Lonchura striata: one gene and its partner. The protein of the gene in region 2 purifies or fractionates together with the protein of the main gene of each other region. This does not show direct contact. Links are inferred from orthologs where the notes say so. Each region holds a gene or a part of one and is shown on either strand. Other genes may lie near its edges.

The links. The genes of interacting proteins can lie anywhere in the genome.
Region 1: the proteins of CTBP1 (region 2) and FOXP1 purify together in Homo sapiens (affinity purification with western blotting; 3 studies listed by BioGRID and IntAct, with this or other methods). This does not show direct contact. The link is inferred for Lonchura striata from reciprocal best matches to the Homo sapiens genes CTBP1 and FOXP1.

The regions. Positions count from the first base shown.
Region 1 is NC_134614.1:20,739,298-20,746,227, forward strand, and holds the start of FOXP1 (forkhead box protein P1), read right to left. Parts: upstream 3,072-6,930; 5' UTR 3,054-3,071; intron 2,341-3,053; exon of another isoform or gene 2,271-2,340; intron 1,670-2,270; exon of another isoform or gene 1,475-1,669; intron 1,110-1,474; exon of another isoform or gene 1,091-1,109; intron 1-1,090. UniProt on the Homo sapiens protein: Transcriptional repressor. Can act with CTBP1 to synergistically repress transcription but CTPBP1 is not essential. Plays an important role in the specification and differentiation of lung epithelium.
Region 2 is NC_134606.1:7,055,769-7,062,764, forward strand, and holds the start of CTBP1 (C-terminal-binding protein 1), read right to left. Parts: upstream 3,057-6,996; 5' UTR 2,933-3,056; intron 1-2,932. Other genes in the region: E3 ubiquitin-protein transferase MAEA, read left to right, coding at 3,794-3,862. UniProt on the Homo sapiens protein: Corepressor targeting diverse transcription regulators such as GLIS2 or BCL6. Has dehydrogenase activity. Involved in controlling the equilibrium between tubular and stacked structures in the Golgi complex.

The sequences.
Region 1 (6,930 bases), on a different chromosome or scaffold from region 2:
ATAGTCCAGAGCTTTCAGTGAGGCAGCTCCTGACAACAGCCCAGCAGCAGCTTTGTTTGATCTCTCCTGCCTTCCTTAATCTGGGTTGTCAAGGTTCACTTGTTGGAGGCTGTTTACTTTACTTTTTCCAGAAAAAAAAAAAAAAAGTGATTTTTTTTTCCTGTCTCTCATACAATGACTAATCCAAAGACTAAGGGGGAAGAATGCTGCCAATGCAAGATGTTAAAGCTACAATACCTTTTTGCAATGAGATTTTAGCCGACACCTTTTGAATGGTAACTAGTGGAGAGCTTCCTCCCCCAGTGCCCTGGTCCATTCAATATGGTTGGGAGATAGTTCAAACAAAATGTGCAGGGGAAAAGCTTCAGAGGAGAGAAGCTGAAACGAGTAGCCCCGATTTCCCTGTCTTCCCCCAAATGTAGCTGCCGAGATGCACGGTACCTCCTTGCCCACACTCGCTTCTCTGGGAACTTGAGTTATTTCAGGCTCTCTCAAACTTATAAAACGTAAGAGCTGTTCAGCAGTAATAAAAACTGCAAAAATAATCCTAAACCGAGCAAAATGCCTGTTTTCCAAAATATTAAAAGTAAGCCGTGGATTAACAGCAAAGGTAAAAAAGTTTCTTTGATGACATGCTTGCAACTTTGTCTAATTAAGCATCTGTCACTAGTGACACCAACATTTCGTCAAATCAAGTAAAATCCAAGTTTAGAAAAACTGTATGGAAAGGAAACACAGTTTAGAGAACTGTTTTAGTATTTAGAACCATCCAGCACCCCAGAAATCAGCAGGCTATATGGTGCAGACGCCACGCTACGAGCAGTACACATCCATTACTCACTCCGAGAACAGTTACTAAAAATGAAACCTTAAACTTCTGAGCACGGAAGTTGAGCTCTAGCTTCTCTACAGAAGCGGCTCAGAGAGCGCTCGCAGGCGGCAGATGCCTCGGGTAGGGACGGGAGGGCTGCGCGCTGCCGCCGCTGCCAGGCTCAGAGGGAAAAGGACGGGGGAAAAGGAAAAACAAAAAAAAAGTAATCGCGCTCGGCTTGGTTCACTCAAAGCAAAAACACGCAATTAAAATCATTACAGCGAAGTGGCAGCAGAAGAGTCGCTGAAAGCGCGGCGCTCGCAGCCCGCCCGGCGATGCTGTCCGCGCCGGGGCCGCCCGGTCATTAATAGTTGCCGGGCGGAGCGGAGGGGGCTGCGCGGCGCCCCGCGGAGCCCTGCCCGCGCAGCTGTCCGCGCCCCGCTCGATGGCTTGGTTTGGGGTTTTTGTTGTTTTGGGTTTTTTTGTTGCCTTTTTTTTTTTTTTCCAGGAAAGAAAGAAACCCACAAACCGGCGGGGCGGGGGTGGGGAGGAGAGAGGCGCGGACACGCCGCTCGGCCGCCGCCTGCAGCGCGCACCCCTCCGCTGCCCGGGGACGCGGCCGCGCAGCGCGGGCCGGCAGGTGCGCGGGGCGGCCCTACTTACCGGGCAGCGGCGGCGGCTCCGCGGCGCGCAGCGAGCCGCGGCTCCGTCCCGAGGCTCCGCACCGCGGGGCTGCGCGGGAGGGGGACGTGCGCTCACACACGCGCGTGAAGGATGCGCGGTCCGCACCCGCGCAGTGAGAAGTTGCGCCGGGCTGAGCTGAGGAGGCGCGGGTGTTTATTCAAACACTTCGTTTCAAAAAAAAAAAAAAAAAAGAAAAAAAAAAAAAGAAGAAGAAGAAATAGAGGGGAGGGGGGATGGGCGCAACGCGTCCCAGGGACCAGCGGTGGGGGCGGATGCGCGGCGCGGGGCTCCGCGTCTGCGGAAGGGGCTGCGCGGGCGTGAAGCCGCAACAGGTGCCCGGGAAGGGGGGAACGGGCAGCCGGGCACAGCACGGGGGGGAGGGGGGGCGCGGCCCCACCGCAACTTCTTGCTCCGAGCGCCGAAGTTGGGGCGTACGCGCCCCTTGCGCGGCGGCGCGGAGAGACCCGGCGGAAAACACGCGGAAAGCACGAACAGGGATGGGAGGGGGGCGGGACGCGCCGCATCCCACCACGGCGGGGAGTGCGCGCAGCGCGGGGCGGGGGGGAAGTTTCCAAAGTGGGCGGGGAGGGGGTGCGGGCGGCCCCGCAGCCCGGGGAGGGGGCTCCGCATCCGCGCACCGCCGCCCCACATCCCCCCACCCCCCCGGTACCGCGGCGGCGGTCGGGGAGGGGCGGCCGGGCACGTGGGGCCGGCGGGGGGAAAAGTGCAACAGCCCCGGAGGAGCGGGGAAAGTGTCGGGGGGCGCCGGACTCACCCGCAGGACTCGGCCCTGCCGCTGCCCAGCACGGCGCGGCCGCGGCGCGGGCGGGCGGCGGCGCGGAGCGGCGCGGGGCTGCCTCCGTCCCGTCCCTCCCTCCCGTCCCTCCGGCACGCCGAGCCCGGGCGGCGCGGCGGCGTGCTCCGCCGCTCGGTAAATAACAATAGAGCCCTCCGCCCGGCGCCGCGCCCGCGGGCCCCGCACGCCGCCCCGCCGCGCCCCCGCCCCGCGCCGCCCCGCGCCCCCTCCCCGCCCCGCGCAGCCCCGCGCGGGCGGGCCGGGGGCGGCCCACGACACCCCCGCGGAGGGAGATGTTGTTATTTTTTGCTGTTGTCAGTCTCTGACGTCACATCCACCTGCTGGGTAAACAAGGCTCGGCGCAAGGGAAAAATAATAATAAAAAAAAAATAAAATAATAGAAGCGGGGGGTGAAGCGCGCAGGGGGTGAAGGGCGAGAGCCCCGCAGGCGCGGAGCTCCGCGGAGGACGGCCGGGGAGGCGGGGGGGGGCCGGGCCGGGGGAGGCGGGGCGGCCCCACGGGGAAGCGAAAGTGGCGGTGGAGCGCGGTGCGCAGCGCTGCGCATCCCTGCGCGCCCCTCCGCACCCCGAGGGACAGCTCAGCGCCCGGCCGGGGCCGCCCCGTCGGCGGGCGCGCAGCGCTGCGCACCCCTACCAACTTTTCCGCGGCCGCTCGGGAGGCAGCGGGGCATCAGGCCAGCGGAGCTGAGGCATGCGGGGGACCCCGGAGTGCCCTCCGCAGGTACCCGCGGAGCCGCCTTACCTGCGCGGAGCGGCGAAGCGGGCGCTGCCTGCGTTCGCCCCGCAGCGCCCGCTGCTGTGGGCGCAAACACCGCTCAGACACACTGCGCGGGTGCGCAGCGGCGCGCACCGGCCGCTCGGCGGGACTGACCGTCCCGGGGACCGGGCTGGGTCCCGCTGCGCGGCAGTGGGTCCGCATCTCGGTGGGTGCGCGGAGCGGCAGCGCTCCGGCCGCGCCGTCGGGGCTACCGAGGAGAGGGGTGGCAGCGCCCGCGGGGGCAGAGCCGGGACCACCCGGCTGCCCCAGCCCTGCGGCTTCGGCACTCGTTCGCCGCGAGTTTTAACAGCACCGATGGATTTGGAACCTCCGGCGGCGCGGGGGCTCGCTTGACGGCGGCCGGAGCAGGCGAGGGGAGCGGCCCCGCCGGGCAGCCCCTTGCCCTGCCCGGGACCCCGGCCCGCTGCCGGCAGCAGCGCGGCGCCGGCGGGACGGGGGTCGCTCGTCGGGCGCCCCGCGGGGATGGAGCGCGTCCTGCCCGGCGCTGCGGGCGGGAGTCAGCGGGCGGCCGCCAAGTTACCGAGCGACCGACTCGTTCGGGGGAAAAAAAACTCTTTCTTTGACCCGCCCGGCTTTCTTCCCTCCCTGCTTTTTCGGCGAACTCGTGTGGTTGCCCGCAGGACGGACCCGGGGCCGGGGGCGATGGTTTCACACGCCGTCCGGAGCGCTACCGCGGGGCGAGCCGCGCCCGCGGGAGCCCCGCGCTGCGCCCAGCCGCTCCCCGAGTCCCGGTGCCGGTCCCGGTCCCCCGCCCGGCCCCGGCGGCTCCGGCAGCAGCGCCGGGCCCGCGGCGCCACCTCCCGGCGGAACGGCGGGAGCCGCTCCGGCAGCAATTAAGACCTGGAATTACCCTAATAGCGAGGTACTTATGCGTAATTCATTATATTTTAAATAATTAAGAGCGGAAAATCGCTGCAAATAAATATTTGCGGAGGTGATGCTCGCGCCGCTGCCGGAGCGGTGCGCTCAGACCGGGGAGCGCTCGGGGCCGGGAACGGGCGAGAGCCGGGAGCGGAGATTTCAGCATCCCGCTTCTGCAGCTCCGGTACCGCAGGAGACACCGGGGTTTGTGTGACCTGGCGGGACCACCAGCTTTAAAAGCGAACATCATCTTGTTATATTTTTTAGTTCATCTGTTTCTTCAGTAGGAAGAAAATGGAGCAAAACCTGTTAAAATTGCATTTTTTAAACACTCTCTACCGCTATGAAACAATACTTGTTTTAAATTTCAGCTTCGAATAAACACTTATTGGCTACTTCTTCATCTCTTGTTTTTAACTTCACACATCCAAACCAGTATATCAACTCTGTAAAACATGATTAATTCCACAGACAGTACCAGCGGTGGGACTTCTCCCTCCCCTTCTGCCTATGTAGCTGCTAATTGTGCTTGAATTGTTTACTGCTGTATTGTTTTACAAGTGCCTGGAGAAAGATGCTTGATATTCCCACCACCGGTAGAACCATCCCAAGAGCAAATACTTCGCAGATTTTGGCAGGGATGTATACAGGCTACAACTACAGCTTGTTAGCTAAAAAAAAAAAAAAAAAAAATGAAGGTGATGACGCCTCTGTAATTATAGGTGTTACTTGTTATAAAGTCAGAATGTTTTCCAAGCTACTGTAATGCCACACCTCCAATGTCCCAGGAGCCAGGCCTTGGAGTCCTTTCTGCCTTAGTCACTGGTTTATGAGGCTTTGCAGAGCACATCACCAGGCTGCACGGCGGGTTCCTGGCCCACTTGGCACTCCTGCGTAGGTGCAAAGCCCATGTGGGTACTCAGCTGTTATTTTACCTTTTACATCAGACATGAAAAGATGAGATACACACCATGTACTGCCCCAAAAAGTTGGCGGACGTAAAGAGAAATGTACATTGGATTTACAGCCTGGTTTTATGATTATCTGACTTTTGTTTCAAATAAGCACAAGAAGAAGCAGCCCTGTGAGTATGCTCATACTGCAACTAGAGGCAAAACTCTTTCTTGGCAAGATGGTGATAGCTGCTCTCCACATTTCCTTGTTTTTGGTGTAGTCGGGGCAAGTCAGATCAGTCTGGCAAAAAATAACCTTCAAAAAAGTAGAAAATGCACCTCTGCCCACATGGTACACAAGCACTGTAAAATAACTGGACCTTTCTTTAGCTCAGAGAACTTCAAGGGTAGGAAACGTCAACTTGCCTATGAGGGGGAATTTTAAAAGGTGTAAACATCAGCTTAGAGACTAAACCCCATGCTCTAGCAGCACTTGCACCAACTTTAGTGGAAGGTGGATCTGTTCTCCAACCGGGGAAGTCCCACAAAGAGATAATGTGACACAGCTAAGGTCTCAAGTTGGCTTGTCTGACAAAATGAAAAGTTCTTCCAAATGAGGGCTATAACCAAACCTAGATATTTTTTAAATGAAATGGAATTAAATAAAATGTTGTTGTTGGGGAGGGGGGTTTCCAGCATACCAAATTGTGATCCCTCCGTTTCAAATGTATTTGCATCCTTCATCTGCTTTTGCTATTATACTCTCTCCCAGTTTCCCTGGCCACAGTAGAAACCATGTCCTGGCCTGTGCTGGGAGGACAAGCTGGAACAGAACTGAGCTCCCATGTGCCAGGAGGTGCCTGGCAGGACAGGGCTGCCCCACAGCCACCCCGAGGGCTGGTGCTGGGCTGGCTGTGGCAGAGCAGGCAGCCAGCAGCACAGCCAGCTTGGTGCTGTGTGTAAGGGAAAGAAGAAGCTGTGCTGCCCTGCAGCATCACGATGCAGGCAGAGCAGGCTGCAGCCTGGCTCCACGCACAGGGCAGAGGGAGTCAGGCACAGAACAAATGACATTTTGCTCTGTTGTGAGTCCAGAGAAGCTCCTCTGCAGTCAGAGCTGGTTTGGATTTGCACAGGCAGTGCAGAGACACGAGTCTTGGATTCACCCCAGACTCCTCTGGGTTCCCAGTGGATGGGAAAGGCTCCCCACATCCATACCCACAGTAATCCTCTCTGCTCCTGGAGGTGTCCCTCCAGCCACCACTGTACCAGAAGCCACCCAGAGATAACTTTTCTATAGCACATTTCCATTTGGCCTGAGCTGCCAGCCAATACATATTTCCTTTTCCTGTGGGGGCAATGAATAGCCATTGTATTTTCGCTGGACTATTAATCTGCCTGAATTTGGTCGAGATTCTTAAATGAATATTCATGGGAATTAATGTCATTTAATTCCTATTGCTTCCTGAATATAATTACGTGCCGTACGTGAATTGGCAAACTCCAGGACACATCCAATCTTGCTAAAAGTCCATGACTGATGAAACTTCGCGTGCTGGACACTCGTGCAGCACTGGAGATGCACAAAGCACTGCCAAGATGCAGCTTGACTTCAGGAGAGGAAACCAATCAAAGAGGGAAGATGTACACTGTAGGAAGCAAACACCACCTTGAGGGATAGAAAATATGATTTAAAAGGTATTTTAATACAAGCTCTTCCCCAGGTATTTGTCTACACGTAGGGGCTTCATTAAACATTTATATTATTTGGAAAAAAAAGCTTTATTTCTTCTACTTTCTCACCCACAGAAAAACATCTTTCAGGACCTCCTATACTGACCTCTTCTAAGAGACAGCATCTCTTGGAAGACCTTCAGCACATCCTACAAATATGAAGTGCCCAAGTGCAATCCTCCTTCTCCCAGCAGCCTGCCTGCCCAAGTTCACGCTGTTCCCTGAATAATGAAGCATAATCAGCTCTGTATTAAAGCAAAACCTGTCCCCAGCATCAGTGCTACCAACCCCTGTCGTAACATAACAAGGACTCTTCCCAAAATATTTGGGCTTGCCCTGTCACAGTGAGAGGCGTT
Region 2 (6,996 bases):
ATACCCACCTGCTCGGAGGAGGAGAACTCCACTGAACAGTGGGACAACCTGTGCTCCTTCCCACCTGAACCAGCACAGGCCTTCATATTCGTGCCTTAGGCCAGTCTGGTCTGCAAATACAAGAAATGATGGTGACACACACCCACTTCTGCCTCCTGGCACTGGGGTTATAATGGCCCCAGAGAGGAAAGAGAAGCAAGTGTGGTAAAATCTCAATTCACAGCAGTTTTCTTCAGCGTATGAAAGCAGAGCACTGAGGTTTCTGCTCTGCTCCACCAAATAACACAGAATGTTTGTGTTCCTGAAAGATACATCATTTGCATGCAGTGTTTAATGTTTTTCTCTGATCATTAATCTGGAGCAAAGCTGAAGGCTATTGGAAAAAAAATGAGTGAAGTTCTCCTAAAGGTTTGGAGTATTCTCTGCACACTGCTTAAGTTAAACTAATTGCTAATTCACATTAACAAGACACTGAATGAGGACAAACATTAACACATTATGATTCAACTGGACAACCAAGAAATACAAAATGGAAGCTGATTTTTCATCTACCTTTTATGACACCAGTGGACAAGGAAAAACTAAAGAAGATACAGTACCAAACGTCTTAGTAGATCCAACTTCATACTTCCTACTGAAGAATAAAGTGGTAGGATTTATAAGAACTCTAAAAGCAAAGGCATATAGGCAATTAAACTAAATTTAATTAGATTAAGACTCAGCTTTGTAAGTTTGTATGGTAGGTTAAGCAGAGGACATATATTAGCCTAATATTCAGGAAAAAAAGTACAACCATAGTACATTAATGACCATACCCAAGAATAACAATAGCCATAAATATTTTGTTTAATTTAGCAGGAAACTACAGAATTTAACAACTTCATAAGATCATTAGCTTAGTTCTCATCCCCACATTTATCATGCCAACATTTACAATATAAATCAACAGCTGCAGACTACAGCTGAAAACATGCCAGAAATATGCATAGGTTGTATCAATATTTGCACATGGAGCCTTGAACGTAAATTAGTTGACACTCAACACTTCAAGCTTTCTCCCTGAAGTTGCAATATTTAAAGGTTAAAGATTAGACATGCTCCCTCTTGTGTTAAACTAAGAATACACGAATGCATGCTGTTTCCTCTGACATGATGGTTGCTTGGCCATCTGTTCCATCAAGCAACCCCTTTAGCTCTGGCTACTAACGTCTGAGAAAGCCTCACCAATAACCCTCCAGTTTAAAGACAGTCTGAGCACATAACCTGTATCCACAGAGTATCTGTGCTACATTAAACTAGCTACTGTATTATCAGAACTATCAGGACTATTAAGAGATTATATATAAACAAAACTTGTTGCAAATAAGTGTCTTGGACAAATATGTACATGACTTGATCAACTTCATGGCAAGTCACACTTCTTCAATCCCTATAACCATCACAGAGTCAAGGTATGACAGGTTCAAGCTGTTCAGTACCATAATCACACAGAATACTCAAGAGCAAATTTCCTTCTAAATATTAGCTTACAGGATATTTAAGACAGACAGGAAGAACAGGAATATTTTACAATGCCACATAATTATGTTTGTAAATACAGCAACAATTGAGCAAAGTTTTCGATCCTCCACCCAAGCAGCCCAGGATGAACCATTCCCTGCACAGAGCCTTAATGGAGTCAAAATCCCCCTTATAAAAATCCTCTTGCAGGATCTGGTCCCAAGATCATGTCTAGACACGAACGCTAATCCCAGGTGCAACTAGCACAAAAGTTTTACTAACACACTTCTCAGACAAAGGCTTTGCAACTGGTATGGGCTTGGTAAATTATGTTTAGGCATACATTTGCTGGTTATGGTCAGCACGAGGCTGAATGCTAGGGCAGCTGTGAGTAAGTATCAGTAAAAAGAATTGGGAGGCAAAGAGAATCTAACACTCAACTACATGACTTCCCACATTCCCTTTTATTTACCCCCATTCCTGGACAGATATTTTCAGTGCAATGAGGTCTATGCACATCAGAAATAATGCCACCAAATATTCTCAGAAATATACTTGCTCTTTCAAACCATGGAAGTTAAATGTGTTCGCTCCTCCTGGAAGTATTGGTGTTTATTTTCCCTCAGTCTTCTGCAGCCCAGTAAAAATATAGCCACAAAGATTAGAGAGAAAAAAAAATCATCACGGTTATTGATAGATACAGGTTTTAGGGTCTCTTTAAAGCTTCAAACTCAAGCAGCACACTGCTTGAAGCACATTTGCTGCCAGTGCATCAAGAAACTTAACTTTTGACATCGGCAGCAGCAGAATGAAGTTAGTATTTTACTGCACGCCCAGGTGCTGCGGGCACATTTCCCCTCTGCTGCACGCTCGCGGTGATGAAGGTTCTGTCCCAGTGCCCGTGTCACCACTGAGGAGCACCAGCGAGGAGCGAACACCGAGACACTGCCCTCTACGCCTTACCCAGAAAGCAGCTTTACATTAGGACTGACACTCCAAGAGCGTCTTTATTCCCTCGCACACACAAGTAGAAACTCTGCAGGACCGCGTCCCTGTTTGGTTTTTTGTTTTTCTTTTTAATGGAAACACTCACGTACGTCCGGCAGAGGACTTACTGCTCGCTTACAGCGGTGCTTGTCACCTTACAGGGGCCGGCCAGAGGTCAGCGGGTCACGCAGAGCCTCCGAGCGCAGCCATGGAGATCCACAGCCCGCCGGGAGCCCGCGCACACCCGGACCGGCCGGAGCCGCCCGAACCCCGCACCTGTGGCGCCCGAGCTCCGCTCCCCGGCGCGGCTGCGGGAGCGCGAAGGGACCACCGGAGACCCCGGCGGCCGAGCGGAGCCGCCCCCCTCCCCACCCCGTCCCCCGCGGGGCGGGCGGGACCGGCCCGGCTGCGGCGGGAGCTGCGCCCGCCCCACGCCTCCGCTCACCGGGGAAACTCGGCGCCGGCCCGGGGAGCCGAGGGCAGGGGGCTGCCGCCGTCTCCGCTATTTAAACCTCTTCCCGCCGTCTCCGCCTCACTGGCTCCCACTCGCTCCCTCCGCCCCGCGGAACTCACGGGGGCGGCCCCGCCCCTCCCGATGTACACACAGCCACACGCCGCCCGCCGCTCCGCCCGCCCGCCCAGACGCACCGGTCATTGGTTCAGCAGCCTGCCCGTCAACTCGAGAAGCGACAGCATTGGCTGGAAGCGCTGTCCATCACAGCGCGTCCCGCCCCGCGCCCCGCCCCTCCCCTTCCCGGACACCTCGGGGGTGTTAAAACGGCCGTTTGAAGTCACCAGCAAAATTTACTTTTAGGCCCCGCCCACTGAGTCCCAGAGCATGTTCTGATTGGGCCATGGGAAACGGCTCTCTGCCTCCACTGAGTGGCTGGGTGTCCATAACGCCCCAAATCCCGCCTATCCCGCTGCCGTAGTCCCCTTTGATTTGTCCGCGCCTCGGCGCGGCCCCGCCCATTCCCTCCCCGCTGCCCATTCAGGCGCGGCTCTCCGAGCCCTGGGGCGGTGCCGACACTCCCGGCGGGGGAACGTGAGGGAGCGAGCCGCTCATTGGCCGGCGCGCCGTCACTCTCCCTCCGTCTCCGCCCCCGCGGAGCGTACCAAGCCGCGGCGGTGGCGGGGGGGGGCAGAGCGCGGCGTTGGTTCGGCCCGCGTCCATGAGGGCCGGGGCGGGGCGCGCGCCGTTTCCCGGTATGCCGCGCGCGCCGTAGGTAGCTCCCGCCGGGACGCGCTGGGAAGGAGGGCGGGAGGGAGAGCAGGGAGGGCGGGGGAGGCCGGTGCCCGATCCAAGATGGCGGTGCAGGAATCAGCCGCTCAGCTCTCAATGACTCTGAAGGTGCAGGAGTACCCCACTCTCAAGGTGGGTGCCGGGCCGCCCCCCGGCGCGGGGGGAGCGCGTTAACGCCCTCAGCGTCCCGCCCGAGCAGCGCTGAGGGGGAGCCCCTTCTACCCCCGGTTCTCCCCGCCTCGGGAGCCCCGGGGCTGCGGGATGGAGGTTGGGAGCGATTCCCATCGCGTAGTTCCCGCCTGTCCTCGTTTTTCCTCCGCTTGACGTCTCGGCTGGTGCCGCTCCGCTGCTGCTGTTCCCATCCCCCTCCGCGGAGGGAGAGGGACGTGCCTGGAATATGCGGCTCTTCCCTGGTGTCTCCGTGCCCTGAGGGGACGGGGGAGGCCCCCGGGCCACGCTGGGGACACAGAAGGAGCTGGAAAGGAGCTGGGAGAGAAGTGAGGTCCTTGTGCTCGCGGGGCGGTGTGAGGGGGGAGCGGGCTGGGACGGAGCCGGGCTGGGGGAGAGGGTTTGGGGCGTGTGAGTGGAATGCACTCCCTCAGGAACGCCGAGGACTGCCTGACGTGCTCATCCCAGGTGATTATCTGGATCTACGTGGCGTTGTTAGGAGACGTGTTAAAGGGGAGAGAGTGGAGGTGGCAGTGTAATATGGTTCCCTGGCTGCTTGGTCCCCCGAAGATGGAGATGAGCTTAAAATATAAAAAGGTTCAGACGTACTGGAGGGCTATGGAGCCGAATAAGCCAAAATACAGTTTGGGAAAAGCTGTTCCTTGACATACTGTGTCTGCCTGCAGGATGGAGGTCTTCCAGGGCTGCATAGGTGGTCTTGGGCTTTAACCAGGTGTTGTGAGGCAGGTGAAGGACTCGGCGATGACCTTAACGCTCAGTGCCTCCGAGAACTGTTGAACTGCAAGGATGATGCTCATAGGAATCAACGGGAACCTTTGTTTGAAGTCTCGAGTTGTGTATACAGGAGGTTTACCACATAAATAGCAGCAGCTGTGGAAAGGACATGGGAGAAGGATCTCTATTGCAGAATGCTTCTTTAGACATCTCTCGTGTCAGCGTATCCACATTTTGCCATCTGTAGAAGATGTTTGTGCAAAGTCAACTTTGTTGTGCTGTGATCATGCTGTCCTTCACACGCTGAGCATTGTGTGCTCTTTACAGTGTTGGTTCTGCAGGTTCTCTGGCCATGTTCTTCTTGTGCATGTCCTCCTCCACCAGCTCCGTTCTGCTCGGGTCTGAGAAGGAGAAGGACAAAGTGTTGATTCTCCTTTTACATGTGAAGGCTCCATTCTTTCGCCCAGAAGTACTTTGAACCTGACAGCATCAGGCTTAAATTTTAAAATAGCTGTAAAGAGCTCTCTGGCACTTCCCATAGCCAGAACAATGTGAAGGCATTTAATGCTAAGAACATCGTTTTAAGACTGCATTTTAGGTGTATTAGAGTTGTTACCACAGATTTGATTGCTACATTCCTGAAAAATTACTGGCAGTGAGGATCAGTGAGTTTTTTGTTGTGGTGCTTATGACTTAAGATGAATTGTCAAGGTGCCAGCTATTTAAAAGGTAGAGAATATTTTGGACTAATTCTTTTATTTTCACAGGCATTCTTTTCCCCTAAAATACCTCAACAAAAATATACATAACAGAATGGAATGTTGTTTGTAAAGTTAGCAAGCTAAATAGTAAGAGGGTGAGACACCCTTGCACTGAAACTCTCAATTTCTAAGCAAAGGTGATGTTTATTGACTCTTCCCAGCAGCCATTCAACTTCTGGGTTGTTCCTGTAATCTTTGGTAACATTTTTCATTGTTTAAAAAAACCTACCAGAACAGTGTCTGCTCAAATCTTTTGAATGTGTCCTCTGAAATGTTCTCAGCTGTGAGTCATATATCAAAACATTTTACTGGTGAAGGTGGAAAAGCAGCACAGAGAAATGAACAGTAAGGCTAAAGTCTACTAAAGTAAGTTGATGTGAAATCTCATTTTGATCTTTAGGAGTCAAGTGCCTACAAGTTTCTGTGAAACTGAGAATCTGAATTTTTATTTCCAGTTTATTCAAATGCTGTGTAAAATGAATGTGTATAACTGTTGGGTTTTGGTTTTTTTTTTATTCACCAGCACAGTAGCTCAGATGTAGCTCTTGGAGCTCTGGTGATTTTCCCTTATGTGAGTAAAATAGAAAAGATTGCAGACTTGTATTTATATCCTTCCTGTTTCTTCCCTCTAGCTTCCTCATGCCAGCATCACTAGATAATAGTTGTGTAATAGTTCTACATTTACAGTGTGTTCCACAGAGTGCTTTCCATGTGAAAGGGTGCTTCAAACTGCAGAGGGAAATCCCTGCTCCAGAGCTAAATTGTGGTTGCTACTGGAGTGGAAATACTTGAGCCCTTCTTCAGCAGTTTGGCTCAGGGGAAGTAAATACAGTTCTTCAGCTGAATCTAGAGAAGCTCTTTAAGTGTACAAAATAATTCTTGAATATTCCCCCCTACACCCTCCAGTCCCTTCTCAAGGACAAGAAGGTTGTCAGCTATTCTTCTTGCAAACTGCTGTGGATTTTTTTTTTCTTTAATCCTACTGATGGGGAATTCTGCTAGTCTCAGATGAGAGCATGTAAGATGAAAGCTGGCAATTTGAAAATGAATGAATGCAAACATTGTTATCAGAGTTCTTTTCTGAAAATAATAAACAAGTGATGACAGGAAGCTGGATAATTCATCCATATTTTTAAAGTATGAATAATTATTAAAGTGATAGCAAGCTGTATATGTGAAGATCCCAAAAGTGGAAGATGCAAGACCCAAAAGCAGGAATGATCACTTTTGAAAATATTCTGGGCTGTTAGTTGGCAAGCAGTTTTGGCTTAGCTGATGTGCTAGTGCTTTAAAAAAAAGTTGCAACAGGAGAGTTGTAGAAGCACAGGATATGTCAGTGCCTTCTCTGAGCAAGTGTTTGGTTTCTTTTGTTGGCATCTCTGTCAGAGAAAATACAACAGATCTAATAAGATTGTAATTTCTCATGGAAATGCAATTTTTGGATTGTTCCAGGGAAACATGTAAGAGACCAGGTTTGTATGAAGTGCATGTTGTTTCTGTCTTGTGTCTGCAGAATAGCTGAGGTTAGAAAGGACCACTGCAGACAATTTAGTCCAGTAGCCTGCCCTCCAAGCAGGATCAGCTGGAGCAGGTTGCTCAGCA